Linked DNA regions of Notamacropus eugenii. The protein of the gene in region 1 purifies or fractionates together with the protein of each later gene. This does not show direct contact. Links are inferred from orthologs where the notes say so. Each region holds a gene or a part of one and is shown in the gene's direction. Other genes may lie near its edges.

Evidence for each region.
Region 2: the proteins of RNF25 (region 1) and UBE2E2 purify together in Homo sapiens (affinity purification with mass spectrometry; 3 studies listed by BioGRID and IntAct, counting the BioPlex papers as one, with this or other methods). This does not show direct contact. The link is inferred for Notamacropus eugenii from reciprocal best matches to the Homo sapiens genes RNF25 and UBE2E2.

The regions. Positions count from the first base shown.
Region 1 is NC_092877.1:317,171,736-317,180,827, reverse strand, and holds the start of RNF25 (E3 ubiquitin-protein ligase RNF25), read left to right. Parts: upstream 1-5,827; coding exon 5,828-6,039; intron 6,040-7,588; coding exon 7,589-7,663; intron 7,664-7,921; coding exon 7,922-8,024; intron 8,025-8,115; coding exon 8,116-8,183; intron 8,184-8,319; coding exon 8,320-8,389; intron 8,390-9,092. Other genes in the region: STK36 (serine/threonine-protein kinase 36), read right to left, coding at 1-97, 201-294, 1,052-1,239, 1,439-1,608, 1,827-1,920, 2,993-3,242, 3,597-3,727, 4,253-4,330 and 2 more. UniProt on the Homo sapiens protein: E3 ubiquitin-protein ligase that plays a key role in the RNF14-RNF25 translation quality control pathway, a pathway that takes place when a ribosome has stalled during translation, and which promotes ubiquitination and degradation of translation factors on stalled ribosomes.
Region 2 is NC_092874.1:31,287,220-31,295,513, reverse strand, and holds the start of UBE2E2 (ubiquitin-conjugating enzyme E2 E2), read left to right. Parts: upstream 1-4,524; 5' UTR 4,525-4,821; intron 4,822-5,295; exon of another isoform or gene 5,296-5,446; intron 5,447-8,294.

The DNA.
Region 1 (9,092 bases):
CAGGGTTGCAGAGGAGGGTGAGAGGTGCTTTTAGCTGAAAGTCTGAAGGTGCTGTGGGCTCCAGCAGGCGCTGCCACTCACTGTCACTGTCTGGCTCCTGGCCCAGGGAGAAGGGAAGGGGCGTTAAGGGGTCTGGAAGCCTGAGGATGTATCATCAGATGGGGACTTCCCAGGCAAGAAGTCATTCACCAGCATCTCACCTCAAGCTCCAAGGTCACAGCATTCATGTTTTCCTCAGTTTCTTGTTTTAGTTCTGGGAACTCCTGATCATATTCCTGGGTGACCTGGGGTTCTCTGTCAGGGAAGATACTGAAGAAACTGAGCTCCAGTTCTGAGAGGCACAGGGTACATGAACCATCCCCTCCCCCAAACCTCAAACAGAAAGTGGAAAAAGCCATGTGAGGCTATCGATGTGGACATGTCTTCTTTTAAGATGTGTTCAAGATAAGAAATTCTACCACAGTGGGAGAATCTCCTTGGGCAGAACACTGCCTGCCCACCCAGCCACCCACCGATTCAAGCCTTCTCTAGCATTTTGCATCTAAGGGTTCCAATGGCTACACCGTTATCCCTTCCACATTACAACATTCCCCATCATGGTTTCTATACATCACAGGTTGGCAAAAGAAATTAAATGATAACTTTTGGGGAGTTTTGCAGAAGCCACAGTCGACACACAATGGCCAGCAGATGACACAAAAAATACTTAACCCAAATTTTACAATAAGGTTCTGTAAACACCCCATAAAAAAAAAAGAAAAAATTCAGACTTCTCTGGTACAAAAGGAGGGCCAAAAAATTTTACACAGATTTTTCCAGATTGTGGGGATGACACACCCCTAACCCCTGCAATGTGGAAAGGATAACTGTAGTTAATCTTATGATGGAAATAATTTTCTTCCCTTCAGTTGGGAATCCTGAGCCACAAGGACTGCCTTTACAAGATTAGTCCTAAGAGCTGGTGACCACACTGTGCTTCCTCTGACCAGGGCTGAGCCCACTGCAAGTACCTAACCACTTCTCCAGTCTGTGGCTACATCTGCCTTCTTACCCAGTAGGAAGGGGAGGCTCACTAGCTCCCCAATCTGCCCACTCATTCTTGTCTTCTAGGGAAGGATCACCAGAGCAGAGTTCAAGATCCTGAGAAGTGGCTCTCAGGCTGGGCAAGAAGGCTGTAGCAGGATCCACCTTGCTTGCTTTGTCTACTTGCTCAAGGGAAACTCCAGGGTTTAAATGTTTCTATGGGGGGAATTAGATTGGAGAGACTTGGTCAACACAGGATTACCTGAAGCTTGTCCTAAGACTTCTCCAAATTCTAGAAACTCTTGTTCCTTCTCCAATTTCCTATGGCGAGTGCAGTCACCTCTCCGGCCCTCTCCAATGCAAATTTCCTCCCTCCTCAAGAAAATGACTTGGATTTCACCTCTGTCCCAAATACCTTCTGCCTAGCCTCCTCAGCCATGTGCTTTCGGGCTTGGCGCAAAATACGGGACTGACCAGACTTGGGGGCCAGGCAGTGTGCCTGTTCTTCCTTTAGAACCTGAAGCTCTGGGGGTAGTCTTCTGGTGAACGGGGTTCCCAGATCAGCAGCCACTGGTTCAGAAATCACTGCAGAGGGACAGTTGGAGAGAATGCCATGTTGGAATTCAAGGAGGGCAAAATGATAGCTAAAGCCCTAGCCTAAAAAGGTTTGAGGTACAACAAGGGAATAAAGGCTGTACAAAATCAAAGGATTCCCTTCCAACTCTTGAGATTCTGTGACCATTGTGTGATGGGATCCAGGAAATGGAGGTCAAACAAGGTCCTGCAGATGGAATAGAACTCACCAGTGACTCGGCCAGCAATGAATGGATGGTACAAGAGCTCAGGCCAAGCCAGCCGCTGATGAGGATCCTTGGTGAGCAGTCCCTGCAGGAAACTCTATGGGGAAAGTACTCCATCACTCTTCCCTTCTGCCTTCAGCATCCCTTTCCCCAAACCAAGGAGTATACCATCCTCCCCTCATAACTGGAAGGCTCCTCCCCTCCAATTCCTAGAATTTCTGGTTTCCTTTCAGGAGAAAGGCATTTTTCTTGGCCACCCTACCAGCTGCTTGTACCATCTCCTCTAAGGCTATTTCATATCTGACTTAGACTTGTTTGTGGTATACCTGTTTCCACCCCCATTATACATTCCCTGAGCACAGGAACAATCTCACTTCTGTCTCAGTATCCCCAGGTACACTGCACAAAATGATGGCTCAATACATGCTAGAATGATTATTTTCGGAGTAGCTGGGCTGGTCTTGGTCGCATCCCTGCCACTGGTTCTCAATGAGCATTGTTTCTGTTTTCAGAAGGTAGAACAGACCCCCTGGGTCTCAACACATGAATGTTGGGAGCCTCAGTTCCACTGGCCTCAGAAGAGAAGAGTACCTGTGTATGTACTCATTGTTCCCCTTGCTAGAACTTGAACTTCTGGCAGAGGGTGTTTCTCTTCTGTCTCTATTTCCACAGTACCTGACGTAGTCAGCACTTAATAGATTCTCAATGATCAGTCAATTGATTGAAAAAAAATGAGGGAAAGAAATTTCGACACTGCTGGCATCTCTGCCAGTAAAGCCCCTTGAAGGGCATCCCCTACAACTCATCTATTCCTATGTTCAATTAATCAGCATGTAATTCTGGAGCAGAGGAAATCAATTCATGGTAAAAGAAAAATGTTACAGGCTAAAGAGAGGGCCAAAATGGCCAAGGTTAGATGGCAGTACACTGATTCCCAAGTCACAGTAAAAGCTCAGCCCCAGGACAGAAGCAGAGAGACCATCTCTGAGACAGTCAGCACCTGCATTTCCCATCCATCTTCAACAATCAATGACAAATGATTTTTATTCAAATTCTGCCACAAACCCAGAAAAGGGCATTGGGAAAAAGGAAATAGATTTCCAGGAAAAGATCTTCTTTTCCTTGTCCTAACTTCCCCCTTCCCCACTCCATCGTATCCATATTCCCACCTTAAAGCATTGGCTTATTGTAGAAGGCCATCGCACTGGGTCCTTTAAGATTAGGCTAACAAGCTGGAAGATGCTGGTCGTGTAGAAAGGTGGTGTACCCACAGCCAGTTCATAAAGAATGCAGCCCACTGACCATAAGTCAGCAGTGTGGTCATATGGACGCTCTTCCACCAGCTCTGGGGACATGTACAATGGTGTGCCTTTGATGGATGTCAATACCATTGTATTTGTACTCATGGCACGGGCAAAACTGGGAGAGAGAGAGTGGGAGAAGGGGAAGGAAGAGGATTAACGGCATAAGGTGAGAAGTTGTACAAGAAAAGTCAAATCTGACTTCATACATACCCATCACAAACCAGACCAAGAAAAAGTCTTTAACCCTAACCCTTTCTCACTCCTATTCAGCCAAACTGTTCCTCCAACCTAACTAAAAAGAATCTCCCTTGATTTGGCTCCCTAGAGTCCAGAAGAATCCCTCCTCCCACCAACCCCAATACTGAAACAAGTTTCTCAAATCAAACCCTTAATCTAGTCTAGCCCATCAATCTACAGGGGACCCCATTTTCCTCCCCCAGAGGAGCAACAGGATGTCTGGGATTCCCACCCAAAGTCACAGAGCTTGATGCCACCACCCTTGGCTAGAAGAATATTCTGAGGCTTCATGTCACGATGCAGGATACGGTGGGAGTGCAGATAATATAGGGCTGATACCAACTGAGCTGCAATGGCCTGAACCTAAGGATCAACCAATCAGGAAGAAAGAGAGAAACAAGAAAAGGAAATAAGTGAATCTGAAGTTGTTCACTCTGAGCTATCCTACTGCTAATTCAAATGGTTCTGCTGATGGACTCCTTTACCAGCTTTCTCAAACCTCTATTTTCTGTTCCCCTTGAAGCTCCCTCACCCCCCAAGAGCCTAGCTCTGCTAAGGTCCCTTACTCCATGGGTTCCCAGTACAATATTTGCTAAGTCAGAACACAGAGAAACTCAAAAATTAGAACAGTTAATGATGAAAACTCAGGCAAATCATAGTCCTGCAACTTGGAAGTGATATGGGCAGGGTAGGTAGGAATCCCATCTGACTCTTCCCTCTCAGTCTTCTTAGGACACCATCAACTCCCACCAGACCAGTACCTCTCTAATGATACTTAGGATACTATAACTCCTTTCAGCCCCCAAAATGTTAGATTCCCAGTGCTCCGAACCCTGTCTACTAGTCCTGATCAGTGGGGAGACTGGGCAGAAGGCAAGTCAGGGATACCTGGTCCTCAGGCAGCTTCCCATCATCTTCTAAGATCTGAAAGAGCTCCCCTTCAGCATAGTCTGTTACTACCACTACCTGTGGGGAGAACATGAATACAGATTTAACTCAAGACATCAAGAGATAGGAACATTCTCCCCTATATACCAAACCCTGGGACCCCTATGATAGGATCTGGAGATGGGGAAAAGGACTAACCTTCACTTACCTCCTTGTCGGTTTCAAAGCTGTCGAGCATCTGTACAATGTTGGGATGCCTCAGACCCCGCATGATTTCAATTTCCCGCTGTAGGTTCCTCAGCTCTTTTTCTGAGCGCCCCAACTTTGGAATGAACTTCAGAGCCACCACCTTCCCAAGGCAAGAAGAGAAGAGTTCAGGGCCTTCCCTGAAAGAAGCTTCTTGCTTTGTGTGGCTCTTTCCTCAGCATCACCTTCAGCTCTCCAAAATCCAACTTTTATGCCAGTTTCTTGCCTTCCTTCTCTCCACAATCCCATGAGCTTGAGCCAAGCTTCCCTGAACCCACTCCTCAAACGGCAATATCTCCCTGAAAAAAGGCCTTCTAGTTGCTCTGTGCCCATCCTGGGGTCATAAAGATAAGACTGTTTGACATCTGTTCAAGTCTTAGAAAGAGTTATTTGGAGAATGGAGGAAAAGGAAGAAAAGAAGGAGAAAGAGAAGTGGGGCTGGCATCTCTTTCTAGCTCAACTAAAACTCTCAGGAAGATGAATTCTCCCATTTAGGACCAGTTCCCAACCAAAAGAGATGCTGAGAGATCCTCAGCTGATCCGGGCTAAATTTTGATCCCTTTAACAGTGTTCTTCCTTTCAGAGAACATCCCCTCTCTCCTAAGTACCTGGGCACTGTATTTTTTCCGACCCTTGTACACTCTTCCAAAGGAGCCCTCGCCAATCATTTCCAGCACGTGGTACTTCTCCATCATCAAGGCTCCAGATCTCTGGGTCTGAAGGAGGGAGAGCTGATTAAGCTTAGTAGCCCCTGGGGCAATTCCACAAACTTGGGAGTCCTGGGGGGCGGGAGGCAACACAGATTCGAATGAGAAGACATGGGGAGCGGTGCTATTTCCTCTCTTATTCCTGCCCCCCACCCTCCTCAGCCTCATTCTAACTAGCCAGCCCTGTCCCTGCCCCCCACCCTCCTCAGCTTGGCCCCAGATCTCAGCCCCAGACCCCAGCCTCAGGAGCCCTGACCCTTGACCTCCTACCGCCAGGGGTCTGTGTCAGGCCTCCCCCCACCCCCAACCTCTCCAGGCCTGAAACAAGATAAATGGGCTCCCTCCCTCACCAGCTGGTCCCCTTGACCCCGGGCCCCTGGGCCTCGCCAGCCCCCCCTAACTACCCCCCACCTTGGAGCTAGAGCTCCCCAGGCCGCGGGACCCGGGCCGGGCTCCGCCCCCGCCCCCCGGGCAGCCCCTCCAGGTTGCCAGACCGAGTTAGTTCGCAGCGCCGGCAGGAGGTCTCCCCGAAGGGCCCTTTCCCCTCCCTCTCCCTCCCTCAGAGGCGGGCCGAGGCCCCCGGGCCAGGGCGACGCGGAGGGAGGGCTTAGCGGCCCGCTCCATGGAGGCAATTCTGCAGGCAGCTCCGAACCGTCGCCCCGCCGCCTCAGGCCCCGCTGAGGACCCCGGCGTCCACGGTCGCCTAGCAACGGCGGCTGGTGGCCGGGCCCTCGGCCTCTCCGCCTCCAGGCCTGGGGGAAGGCACTTCCGGTTCCGGCGCAGGCAGCGGGAGGAGATGGCGGCGGCCGCGGCGGCAGCTGGGGAGGAGGACTGGTAACTGCCGGGGACGCGGGACCTGGCTGACGGCCGCTCCCGGCCTGGGGCGGGGCGGGTCCACGGCCGCCCCCCGGAGGCCCGGGGGTAGATTTGAGGGGGACGGAACTCGAAGGCGGGGCACCCCGGGGGTCGGGCCGCCGAGCCGGCCCACGCCCCCAGCCTCGTCCGCCCGGGTGTCCGCCTCCTGATGGCCCCGAGCCCCACGGGAGCGGGCCAGGCCCCCCGCGACCCCAGCCGAGCGCCGGCTCCTCCGCCCCCACGACCTCCTGCAGCGGCGGGACCCAGGGCCGGGCCGTGGCGAGGGCGGCTCCGGGGCCGTCCGGGAGAGCCAAAGCTCGGGGGGCCCAGCCGGGGCGAGGACTAGTGGCGTCCCCGCCGTCCCCCACCCCCACCCTTCCGCCGTGCCCCGCGTTGGTAGGCATCGATGTGGGGGATGCAGGCGCCCCCAAGCGTCCCGGGCTTCTAGCATGGGCGGAGTGCTGGGCACAGCCGAGCTAGTCGCCGGGATCGGGCATCCTGCTGCTGTCACCAAACACCCTGTTATTAAAGAGGCGTGGGCCTGACCCCCGGGCGGCCGCAGGTGGGGCCGTGCGGGCACGTCGAAGGCGTTTTGCTGACCAGCCATCCCTTTCTCTCCTCTTGTTTTAGAGCCAGGAATTTGGGGGAGAGAGAGGAAGAAATACTTTCCCCAAAGCCTGTGACTGCTTCAGTTTTGAACACCCATAGGAACAGGCCTGGACTTAAGAGCCCGTGAAGGGTCTCGGATACCTGATAATTCTATTGGGGACTACGGTGCCACATACCAGCATTCCTGTTTCTGGTTTAGAGCAGTGGTGAGGTGGTAGGATCACAGATTTAGCACTAGAAGCCTTGTGAATACAACTCCCTCGCATAAAAAATAAGTTTACTTGCCCAAGACTGTGAATAACACAGCTTAGATTTGAACCTGTTACCTCTCAACTCGAATAGACACCAAAAGGCCAACTGGTTTGTGTACCTGAAGGCCTGGATTCTCATGCTAGCTTTGCCTCTTATCAATTATGTGACCTTAGACAAGTCACAGTTTTTCTTTCTAGTCTATAAGATGAAAGAGTTGGATTTTGAGGCTCCTTCATGCTCTACAATTCTGTTTTTATTACTATTACTCACTTTTGTTTCCTCCCATCTTAAAGTAGGTATGGAAAAGGAGTGACCTGGGACCTAAGAGATGTCCTTGAACTGCTGTGCTTCTCAAAACAGCAAGGTCTCTCCTCTTGGGCCCTGATTGGGCCCCTGTTTGGGAAAAGGAGGGTCTCTTAATGTTTCTCCATTTTGAGGAAGCTTACAGAAAGATAGCAACAAATATGAATTTTCTATATGGTTATAAAAATCCCCAAGCCTGTGATAGCTATGAAAAATGATCCCCAACTTGTGGAAAAGGAAGATTGAAAACGGCATAGAACCTTAAACTGCCAACCCTCCTCTTCAGTACCCTCTAGGACAAGCATCCTTCCTCATGGGACTACAGTAAGGAAGGATATGGTACATCAGCCATCTCTTTCCCCAGGGTTCTACCCTCTGAAGTGGAGGTATTGGAGTCTATCTACCTGGATGAATTACAGGTGGTTCAAGGAAATGGAAGGTGAGTACCCAGCTGGGACTGAGAAGGGCTTCTGAGAGCAATAAGGGAATGATATTTACTCAGACCATCATCTAGTCCTAAGAGAATGTGAGAAGTGGAGGAAACTGTTTCTCAAAGAAACAAGAGTGATACCTTTAACTTACCATAGGACAGATTCCCTTCTCATTTCTCTAGGGAGGGAATTCTCAACTCATCCCACCCCTCACCCCCCAGTTCCCACTCAGTCACATCTTGGATCATCATACTGACCACCCACAGGTCTTCACCATGGGAAATCTGCATCACTCTGCACCCTGCCACAGCTGAAGACCAGGATTCACAGTTTGTCTGCTTTACCTTGGTGTTGCTGGTCCCTGCACAGGTGAGGTGCCTACTGGGTGACCACAAATCGGGGAGAAATGCTGGGGTATGGAAAGAGGGCACTACATACTGATCTGGTCTCTTTTTTCCAGTATCCCAATGAGGTGCCTAAGATCTCTATCCGTAACCCACGAGGGCTGTCAGATGAACAGATTCTCAAGTAAGTGTTGCTTAGACTAACATAAGATAGAACTAGGGCACGTCTCACACAGGTTAAGGGTACCAACATAGAATATTTCTTTTTCAAGAAGTGGAAAGGAATTTTCCTAACATTGAGGTTGGGTTTTCTTTTCTAGGATCTCACAGGCACTGAGTTGTGTGGCTGAGGCTGGATTAGGCACTGCTGTGCTCTATGAACTCATTGAGGTGAGCTGGGCCCTAGGGAGACCTCCCTTCTTTCATGCCAAAACAAGTTTTAGCCATGGGTCCAGAATAGGAGTGGGGAACCTGTGACCTCTAAGCCACATGTGGCCCTTTGAATCCAAACTTCACAGAACAAGTCCTCTTAATTAAAGGATTTGTTCTGTAAAATTCAGTCCAGAGACCACACCCAGGGACCTAGGAGGCCACATGTGGTCTCAAGGCTGAAGGTTCTCTGTTCTAGAACCATTCTCCCAAAGTAGTTTAGCCCTTTCCCTCCCTTTGGGTAAAACTGGTCCAAGTTGATGAAAGTCATGTTTTAAAAGCCCTCTAAAGGTGGAGATTCTACAAGCTTCTTCATTTGTTTACTTCAGTATCTTATCTAAAAGTCTAAAGGAATATTTTTTGTCTACCAAAGTACTTCATGCATTCCCTATTTTTTTCTCAGTGGTAAGAGAAAAGTAGCTTTACAAGTGAATCATCTTTACGTCTGATACTTTCAGTTTAAGATAGTGTGTGCACTGGTGCTGCTAGCGATAGAAAGGAAACAGAAGACAGTCCCTATACTCAAAACTTACAGACCATCCACAAAGCAACACCTCACGTTTACATTAGCATTTTAATATTTAAGAGAGGGGGGAAGACAGAGGAGGGAAGCAAAGACAGAGATCGTAAGAGAGATTTCCTCTTCTCTAGACCACACTGCCTC
Region 2 (8,294 bases), on another chromosome or scaffold:
TATTACTTGCATTATGTACCTTAAAAGACTGTTGTGAAGAAAGGACTCTGTAGATCTTAGCATGCTTTGTAAAAGTGACTTGTTATGAAAATAAGCCAAAATAATGACGTATGTGATTTACATTATTAAAGCATTTTAAGTGTATTTATACAATCAGTAGGGTGAACTTAATTTTCTAGCCCATGAATTGAAAAAAAAATGGTTTGTAGAGTGTATTCCATAAATCAAAGATTGTGAGCTGCAATGGACCTTAGGAATCCTCTATTCCAAGCCCCACCTTTTTTAGGGTGGGAAACTGAGATTAGTGATGGGAAATGACTTCCCCAAAGTCACACAGTGAACAGCAGAATGAGGAGTAAAATCCAGGTGCATGTCTCCCCATTCAGAGTTTTTAATCCTCCCTAACACAATGATCACTAAATTTCAATCAACACCATTCTTTTCAAAATTACACTATGGATTGTCAGGCTGCTAATCTTGAGTTATCAAGAGGTAGTGGAGAAGTTGGCACCCGAATTAGGCCTTGGCAGAGAGGGAAGGACTGCATTAGATGGAGGTAGGAATGTTGGTGAGGATCCATTCCAGACCCGAGGAATAATATGAGGAAAGATATGGGAGATGACAGGACAAGAAACAGAGATGGATTTTGTCTGGAACTCTGCAAATAGGTATGAAATAAGACTAAAGGGTAAACTCAAGCCAACGAGGCCTTGAACGCTTTATTCAGGAGGTATTGGAATCATAGGGTTAAAGATTTAGAACTGGAAGGGATCTTAGAGGTAATTTTGTCCAACCCTTTTATTTTACTGACATGGGTGTCAGAGGATTCTCAGATTCACTCAGGTAGAAAATGGCAGAATGGAGATTCAAACTTAGATTGTCTCCCCTAAATCCTGTACTGTGTCAGAACATATGGGATTGATTCCTGCCTCTGACACAAGGGAGAGATAATAGTTAGAGTACTGAGCTTGTACTTTGACCCCATTTGGGGTTTTCTTGGTAGAAGTCCTAGAGTGGTTTGCCATTTCCTTCTCCAGCTCATTTTACAGATGAAGAAACTGAGGCAAACAGGGGTAAGTGACTTGACCAGGGTTATCCAAATAGTAAATGTCTGAGGCCAGTTTTGAACTCAGGAAGACAAGTCTTCCTGACTCCAGTGTAATGGCAACCAAAGTAGGATCTTTTGCTGTTTTTGTTTTAGTATAATCAAGTGCCTACGTTTGAATCTTGCCTTTATCGACCAAGAGTCTTTACTGGGGGTAAAGTACAGAAACAAGAGTTTCTTTAACTAGAAACAGTATATGTATTTGTATTGTTAATTATTTTGATATGATTAAAGAAGATCTTCTCCACCCATTAAGGGGCCTGCCCATTAAGGGAAGCTTGATTAGGGGAGTTGTTTTGTAGAAGTACCTTTTTTTTTTTCTGTTGAGGCACTGGTCAGAGAGTCATGCCCTCTGGCTCTGAAAAGCATATAAATACACTGAGGTGAGGACTCACACATTGGAAGAAGGTTATTTGGCCAGATGAGACTCTGGGTAGCCACTGAGTCCCTGGGCTTTGAAAACCCAGAAGTTGGTGCTTCCCTTTCTGGTAGCTATGGTCAGACAGCTGGACCTTCTGTTAATCTGTGAAATATGTATTGCTTATGGTTAGAGAGTTGGAAGCCTGTCTGCTAGTCTTTATTTCTCTTGCGGTATTTATCTCTATTGGTGAATGATATGTGCTCAATTAAAGGAGATTGTTAACCCCTCAAAAGTTGCTTTCCTTTTAGAAAAGCAGATGTAAGAACCTAAGTAGCAGGCCCTCCTGTGTATGTTGGGGTCCTTGCTTTTACATGCAGGTCCAGAACTTTATCTACTTTATCTCCTAGCTGCCCTATACTTAGGAAGAGCTGAATTCAAATCCTGCCCAACACACTCACTAGCTATGTGACCCTGGACAAGTCACTTCGCATCTGCCTCAGTTTCCTCCACTGTAAAAGGGAGTTAGTAATAGCAGCTACCTCTCAGGGGTTGTTGTGAGGATGAAATGAATTTGTATTTATAAAATGCTTTTGCAAATCTTAAAGCACTATAAAAATACGAGCTCTTAGTGTTATTATTAGGAGACAAAATGAATATGGACATGAAGGATTGATGGGCCTAAGTCTGAAATACACAGAAGAGATGATATTTATTTGGAGATCATTTGGTTTTTCCCGTGAGAGAATACTCTGGGAGATTTCTGTAAGAACTGTAGTTATCACACCATGGCAATGTTTATAGGGCTGTTCTCTGAGGTAGAAAAGGAGTTGAATTTGTGATGTTTTCCTGAACTGGACTTGGGGAGTAGAGCCACAAAGGTCTAGCCACATAGCCACACAAGTCTCTCCTCATGAAATAACATAGAAGCAAAAGTTTTAGCTTTTGAAAGGATAAAACATTATCCATTATTTTCACAAGGACGGGACATGATAAAGTTCTACAGTTGGTCTGCTGATAGCGATGAATGAACAATCCTAGGACTTTGTTAAAATAAAACAATTTTGATACTTTCTCTGATAGCGAGATATTTTGTTATCCATCATTCATTGTAAAAAATGATACTATTGACAACAAAGTATCACTGGTTGGAGATAAGAGTAGCTTATTAGATGGAGGAGAAGCCCAGCTTTAATGTAGCCGGGAGACAGGGATTCTATCATCCCCTGTCACCAGCTAGTTGAATAAATATTGAGACCTTTAATCTTTCTGTGACTGCTGCTCTATGAAGAAAGATAATGCATCTTCCTACCTTGTAGATAAATCAGGAGAATAAATTCCATTATTTAATGAATTTTGTTCAATGCTGTATTTGTTTAGATTATGACATATTCAGGATCAGGAAAAGTTTAGATAATGCACTTTTACTAGAGATTTCAATCTCTGTGCATTTCTATGCATGCATGTATATGTATACATATGTATGTGAGCGTATCACCTCCCTTTCCTTCTTTCATTTCCCTATAGAACCACATCTGTCTTTTCACACTGATGTCACTGCTTTTGCAGTCTGAATCTTCTGTTTAATAATCCCAGGATATGCCATTTCTAATCCCAGAATATTCTTTTTTCTTAATGGTTTATGTCTCCAATGCTCTAAGTGATAAACAAAGCTGGCATCCAGTTTGCCCTGTAGCGATGTACAGGTCTAGGTTCTTTCTATTGGTCAAGTCAGTTTTCAGCACCTGATTCTACCAGTGGCTTAGGGGGTTTGAGAGATTGGCCCTGTTTGAAGGAGTCACTGGGGGAAAGGGTTTTCTTATCCGGGGAATGTGGAATTAGGCTTTGGGTGGTTTTCCCCCGGGATTTTCCTACCCTGATTTCTCTAGTTGTAGCCTGCGGCCTCTGTGTCGCCCAGGACTCTGGCCCTTGTCACCAGGAGGGCTTCGTCTGGCATAATTACACTAGGTCTGCAGCTTTCCCGGAGCTGGTCCGGATCCCACGGCTGCCCAGCCTCGGCAGCTGCCTGGGTCCTGGATTTGGAGAGGCCTGACTCCCGCACACCCCATTCAAGGTGGAGTCCCGGACCCCATCCTCCCCGGCGGGAGGGCCCCCAGGTGGCTTCGGTCGTGGGTGGGGAGGCGGCGCGGTCCGGGGCAGAGAGAGGTCCCGCAGCCCGGAGGCCCCGATGCCCTCCCCTATCCCCAGTCCTGTGGGTTTCAGAGGTCAGCAGCCTGGCTAAACTTTTTTGAATTCCCGATGTGCATGGGAAGGGGTGTGTGTGTGTGTGTGTGTGTGTGTGTGTGTGTGTGTGTGTGTGTGTGTGTGTGTGTGTGTGTGTGTGTGTGTGTGTGTGTGTGTGTGTGTGTGTGTCTATGGGTGTGTATGTGTGTACGTCTGTGTGTGTCTATGGGTGTGTATGTCTGTGTGTGTGTGCGTGTCTGTGTGTGTGTGTGTGTGTGTGTGTGTGTGTGTGTGATAGAGAGGGGAGAGGAGAGGAAGGACAGACAGACAGATGGGGGGGTTCTCTCTTGCTCCTGGGTGACTTTCTGGGCCCACATTCTCCTCCCCACCTCCGTCCTGCCCACTCCTCGGGAGAAGCTCTCCACTCCACCCCATCCCCCCGCCCCCCACCTTTTTCTGACTCTTTTCCCCTCCCCCTCCTTGTCAGTGTTTCCCTTTAACGCGCGCGCCCGCCACGTCCCTGCCAAGGTCCCCTCGCCCCCTCTCCCCTCCCCCACCCCGGCCACCCCTCCCCCTCCGAGCTCCTCCCAGCCGGCCTCCCCTCCCCCCTCGGCGCGCGGGGCTCAGCTGTCACTTTACTTTTTCTTGCTTTCTCTTCCCCCCCACCCCCACCCCGACCCCATGCTGCCCCCGCCCCTCGCCGGGAGGGAGGAGCCTCGTGCCCGCGGGCGGGCGCGCGCCTCCCGGGGCTGCCCCCGCCCCCTGGCTCGGGCGCGCGCCCGGCTCCGGGAGGGAGGGGCGGGGAGGGAGCCGCTCCGGGGACGTGGGGCGCGCGCACGGCTGGGAGCCGGAGCCGTCGGCGGCGCGGGCGCGGGCGCGGGGGGCGCGGGCGCGGGCGGAGGCGGCGCGGTCCGCGAGGTGCTGGTGGATTCACTTTTCCCAGAGTCCGGGGCGGCAGCAGCCGAAGCCCGAGCCCGAGGGGAAGGACGCGGGAGCGGCGGGAGCCAGAGCGGGGCTAGAGCGAGCGAGGGAGGAGAGCGGCCGGGCCCCGGGGGGCTCCGGGGGTCCCTGAGTCCGCGGCCGGCGGACGCCCCTGCCTCCCCCTCCTCCTCCTCCTCCTTCTCCTCCGGGAGCGGCACGAGACGGCGACCTGCGCCCCCTCTCCCCAGCCCAGGTAACCGGCCGGGGGCGGCCGCGGTCCCCCGCCCCTCCCCCGCCCGCCCCCTGCCACCCCCTCACTCCCGGCTCCTGCCCCATTTCCCCCCCCCTCTTTTCCATCTTCTCCTACTTTCTTCCTCCTCCCTCTGCCCTTGTCCTCCGCCGCCCCCCTTCTTTCCCCCATCCCCCTCCGACCCCTTCCCCTCCCCCTCGTCTGCCCAGCCCTCGTCCTCCTCTACCCATCCTTCTCCAGCCTCCCTGCCCCCTCCCCCCTCCCCCCTCCCCTCCCCCAGGCTCTGGCAACTAAGTCTTTGGAAAGTACAGCAGAAATGTCAGGTTGAAAAGTGTCCAGTTTAATCTTGGGAGATTCTCTCTAATTGCCAGATGATTGCACATTGTATCTTCTCCGTGACATGTGACTTCTCTGGTTCCCTTCCATCTCCTCCCTTTCCCCCCACCCCCCAACACACACCCGTTGGCCAGGCAGGAAAAGACCTGGCGCTTGGTGTACGTGTGTGTCGGTGTGGACCGGGGGGGTGGATTGGTCTTTTGTGCAGCCTGGTGCCTGGCACACTTTGGAGCAGGGGCACACGGCACATTTTTGTTCCTCTACAGCCTGCTTGGAAACCGGAATTCCCTGGGTTTGTTTGGTGGGGGGGTTCTCCCTCCCCACAACTGTTGTGATCATTTTGCCTCTTACCTTTGCTAAGGAAGATGGAGTACTGCTTCTTTGCGGGACCAAGCGGGGGGGAGGGGGGGGAGGGAGAGGGGGAGAGAGAGAGAGAGAGAGAGAGAGAGAGAGAGAGGGAGAGAGAGACAAATAGAAGAGACACAGAGAAAGGGGAGAGAGAGAGACGTGATCCCAGGCACTCTCTCTGCTGGACCTATTTGCATGTTTCCAGGATTCATCTTTCTGTGTAGCTGTTTTTTTGTTTTTAACAAGGTGCCTCATCATATGTTTACTTAAAAGTGTAAAGAGAAGTACTAAGACTGAACCTCAAATTATTTCCCATCATGTACAAAGGTTAAGCTTTCTTTGGGAGTACGTATGCATGCCTAGTTTCTTTTTTAGTGGGATATTTCTAAATGTCTAGTAATTCACCCAAGACCTTCGAGATAATAAGATACTTCTTGACCTAGACAGTATTGAAACTTTCTGGTTCTTAGCAGTTTTGTGTGTATGTGTGGACATCATGTATGAAAGTTTTCATAAAATTGTAGATTTCCCCACTTATTCCTATGCTCATCCTATCTTTTCCCATTTATCTGGTATAGATAGAATTTCTTATGTTTCCTAAAGAAATGCAAGATCAAGTACCTCACTTTCCCTATGGCTTTTAGTGTTTCTCCTTCCTCAAATCACATTGTATTACTTCTCTTTGTGCAGGTAGAATGTAAGCCCTTCCAGGGTAAGGAACTGTCTGTCCTCTTTCGGTCTTCTATCCCTAGACCTTGGCTCTTTGAAGGTGCTTGGTAACTGTTTCATTTGAATGGAATTAAATGCAGTTTTGCTTCAATTTGGATTGTGATAGCTTTTGTACATAGTAGAAATGGAGAAATGGACTAACCCTTTGTTTTGAAAAGGGCAGAAGGGAAAAAACACGAACAGAAAACAGCTAGACATTAAATGACAAACTAGGCATTTTCCTGTTAAAAAAAAAAGCTGGCATGACTTGTTATTATAATTACACACTGTGGGCTACTGTCAGAACATTTATCTCTTGGATGGTAACCTGGCCTCATGGAGTGAAAGTGATTTTTTTTTCCAGTTAGAAGTAATATTTATACCAGAATCATTGCACTTGAGATTCAGTGAACATGTGGGCTGCATTAGAAATATTTTGCTAATTTCAGGACTGTAGTTGAATACAGAATGTTTTGTAAACTTGAACAGTTTGTGAGTTTCTTAAAGTAAATATGTTCAGGAAAGGTCAATATACAAACTTTCATATAAAATACCATGATTCTGAGTTGTTTAGGAAATACTACATCATATTTTGTTTCTGAAGGTAAATGAAGGTGGGATGGCTATAAAATCAAAATAACCTTTTGAAAATTGTAACCAGTTTCAGACTGCTATTGTAAGGGAGCTCTGCATTCATAGCCTTGGGGTTTGTTTATCTTTCTAGGTTAAAAAACTGGCTAATACCTAGGAATTTGCCTTGGTAAAAATGTGAATTATTTTTTAAAACCCTAATTCCCAAGAAGATGATTTCAGGAGTCTGAGGTTTTCAAATTCAGGAATGTGGTTGATTTTTATTTTGGAGATTCAACAAAACACCCCTTTTCTACATTTAAATTAAATTAAGACTGTTCTAAAAAGTACTTTCTCTTTTTGGAAATTAGTTGCACTGGGGAAAGGCAATCAGCTTTGCCCATAATTTTTTTCTAATCGAAAATTCCAAAAACATAGTCAGAAACAATTCATTTTATTCTATTTGGAAAGGAGATGCAATGTATTAAGTATTTGTTTACATCTAAACTTGGCAGTGGTCAGAGGAGTTCACACCCTTTGGCCGTTTGAGATTTTGACAAGATAATGTACCTTCCATAAATACGGTCCTGAAGCACATTTTTTTCATCTTCAAGAAAGCATATTACAAAAATGTCTGCATTTGTCTGAAAAATGTTTAAAGTATGTTTAAGTTTCTGCCTTGTGATAGTAATTTCTTTTTGTTTTTTTCGTCTTTGTCTAGATCAATGTGTGAAAGTTTCTGTCAAACCAGATAGCATATGGGACGGTGATTTGCAAACCTTAGTGTTACATAAATGCTAGTTATTTCTATAATCTAAATGTTGATTTCAAATTGTGGGCTGCTGTCATATCATGACCCTTTAGATATACTCTGCAGACATTTATATGTGAATATTCATTTTTTCTTTTAAAAATATATTTAACATTTTATTTTTTCCCAGTTACATGTAAAAGCAATTTTTAACATTTCTTATTTGTTTGTTTTTTTAATTTTGAGTTCCAAATTCTGTGTGTGAATATTTATTGAGAAGATAACAAATGAAGACAGCTTGCTGAAACAAATATAAAAGGGAGGACCTGGAGGGTAGTAGAAAGTGAGCAAAATTTGGAGTCAGGGGACCTAGGTTCAAAACTTTGTCCCCCAAAAAAAGCCACTAACCCTCCCCAGGTCTCAGTCTCCTCATTTGTAAAATGAGAAGGTTGCACTGGGTATGACAAATGCTTTGCAATACCTTAGGGAACTATGGAAATGTTATTGTTGTTATTTCTGTTATACTGAATTAGAAACTAAACTTGTGGCATAGTTGGTGCAGCTGAAGTAGCTTCAGCAAAAAAAATCTCAGGAAGAATTTTATTCAGCTGAGGATTTCCCTGTTTATGACAAGCCACACACAGTTAGTTTCTGTCGTAAGTGGTACCAAATAGTCTTGTATCACATTGCTAAAAACACAGCCAGCAATAGTTATTGCCATATCCTAGACAAGCAGGTCTGCTTATCATACAGAGATATACAC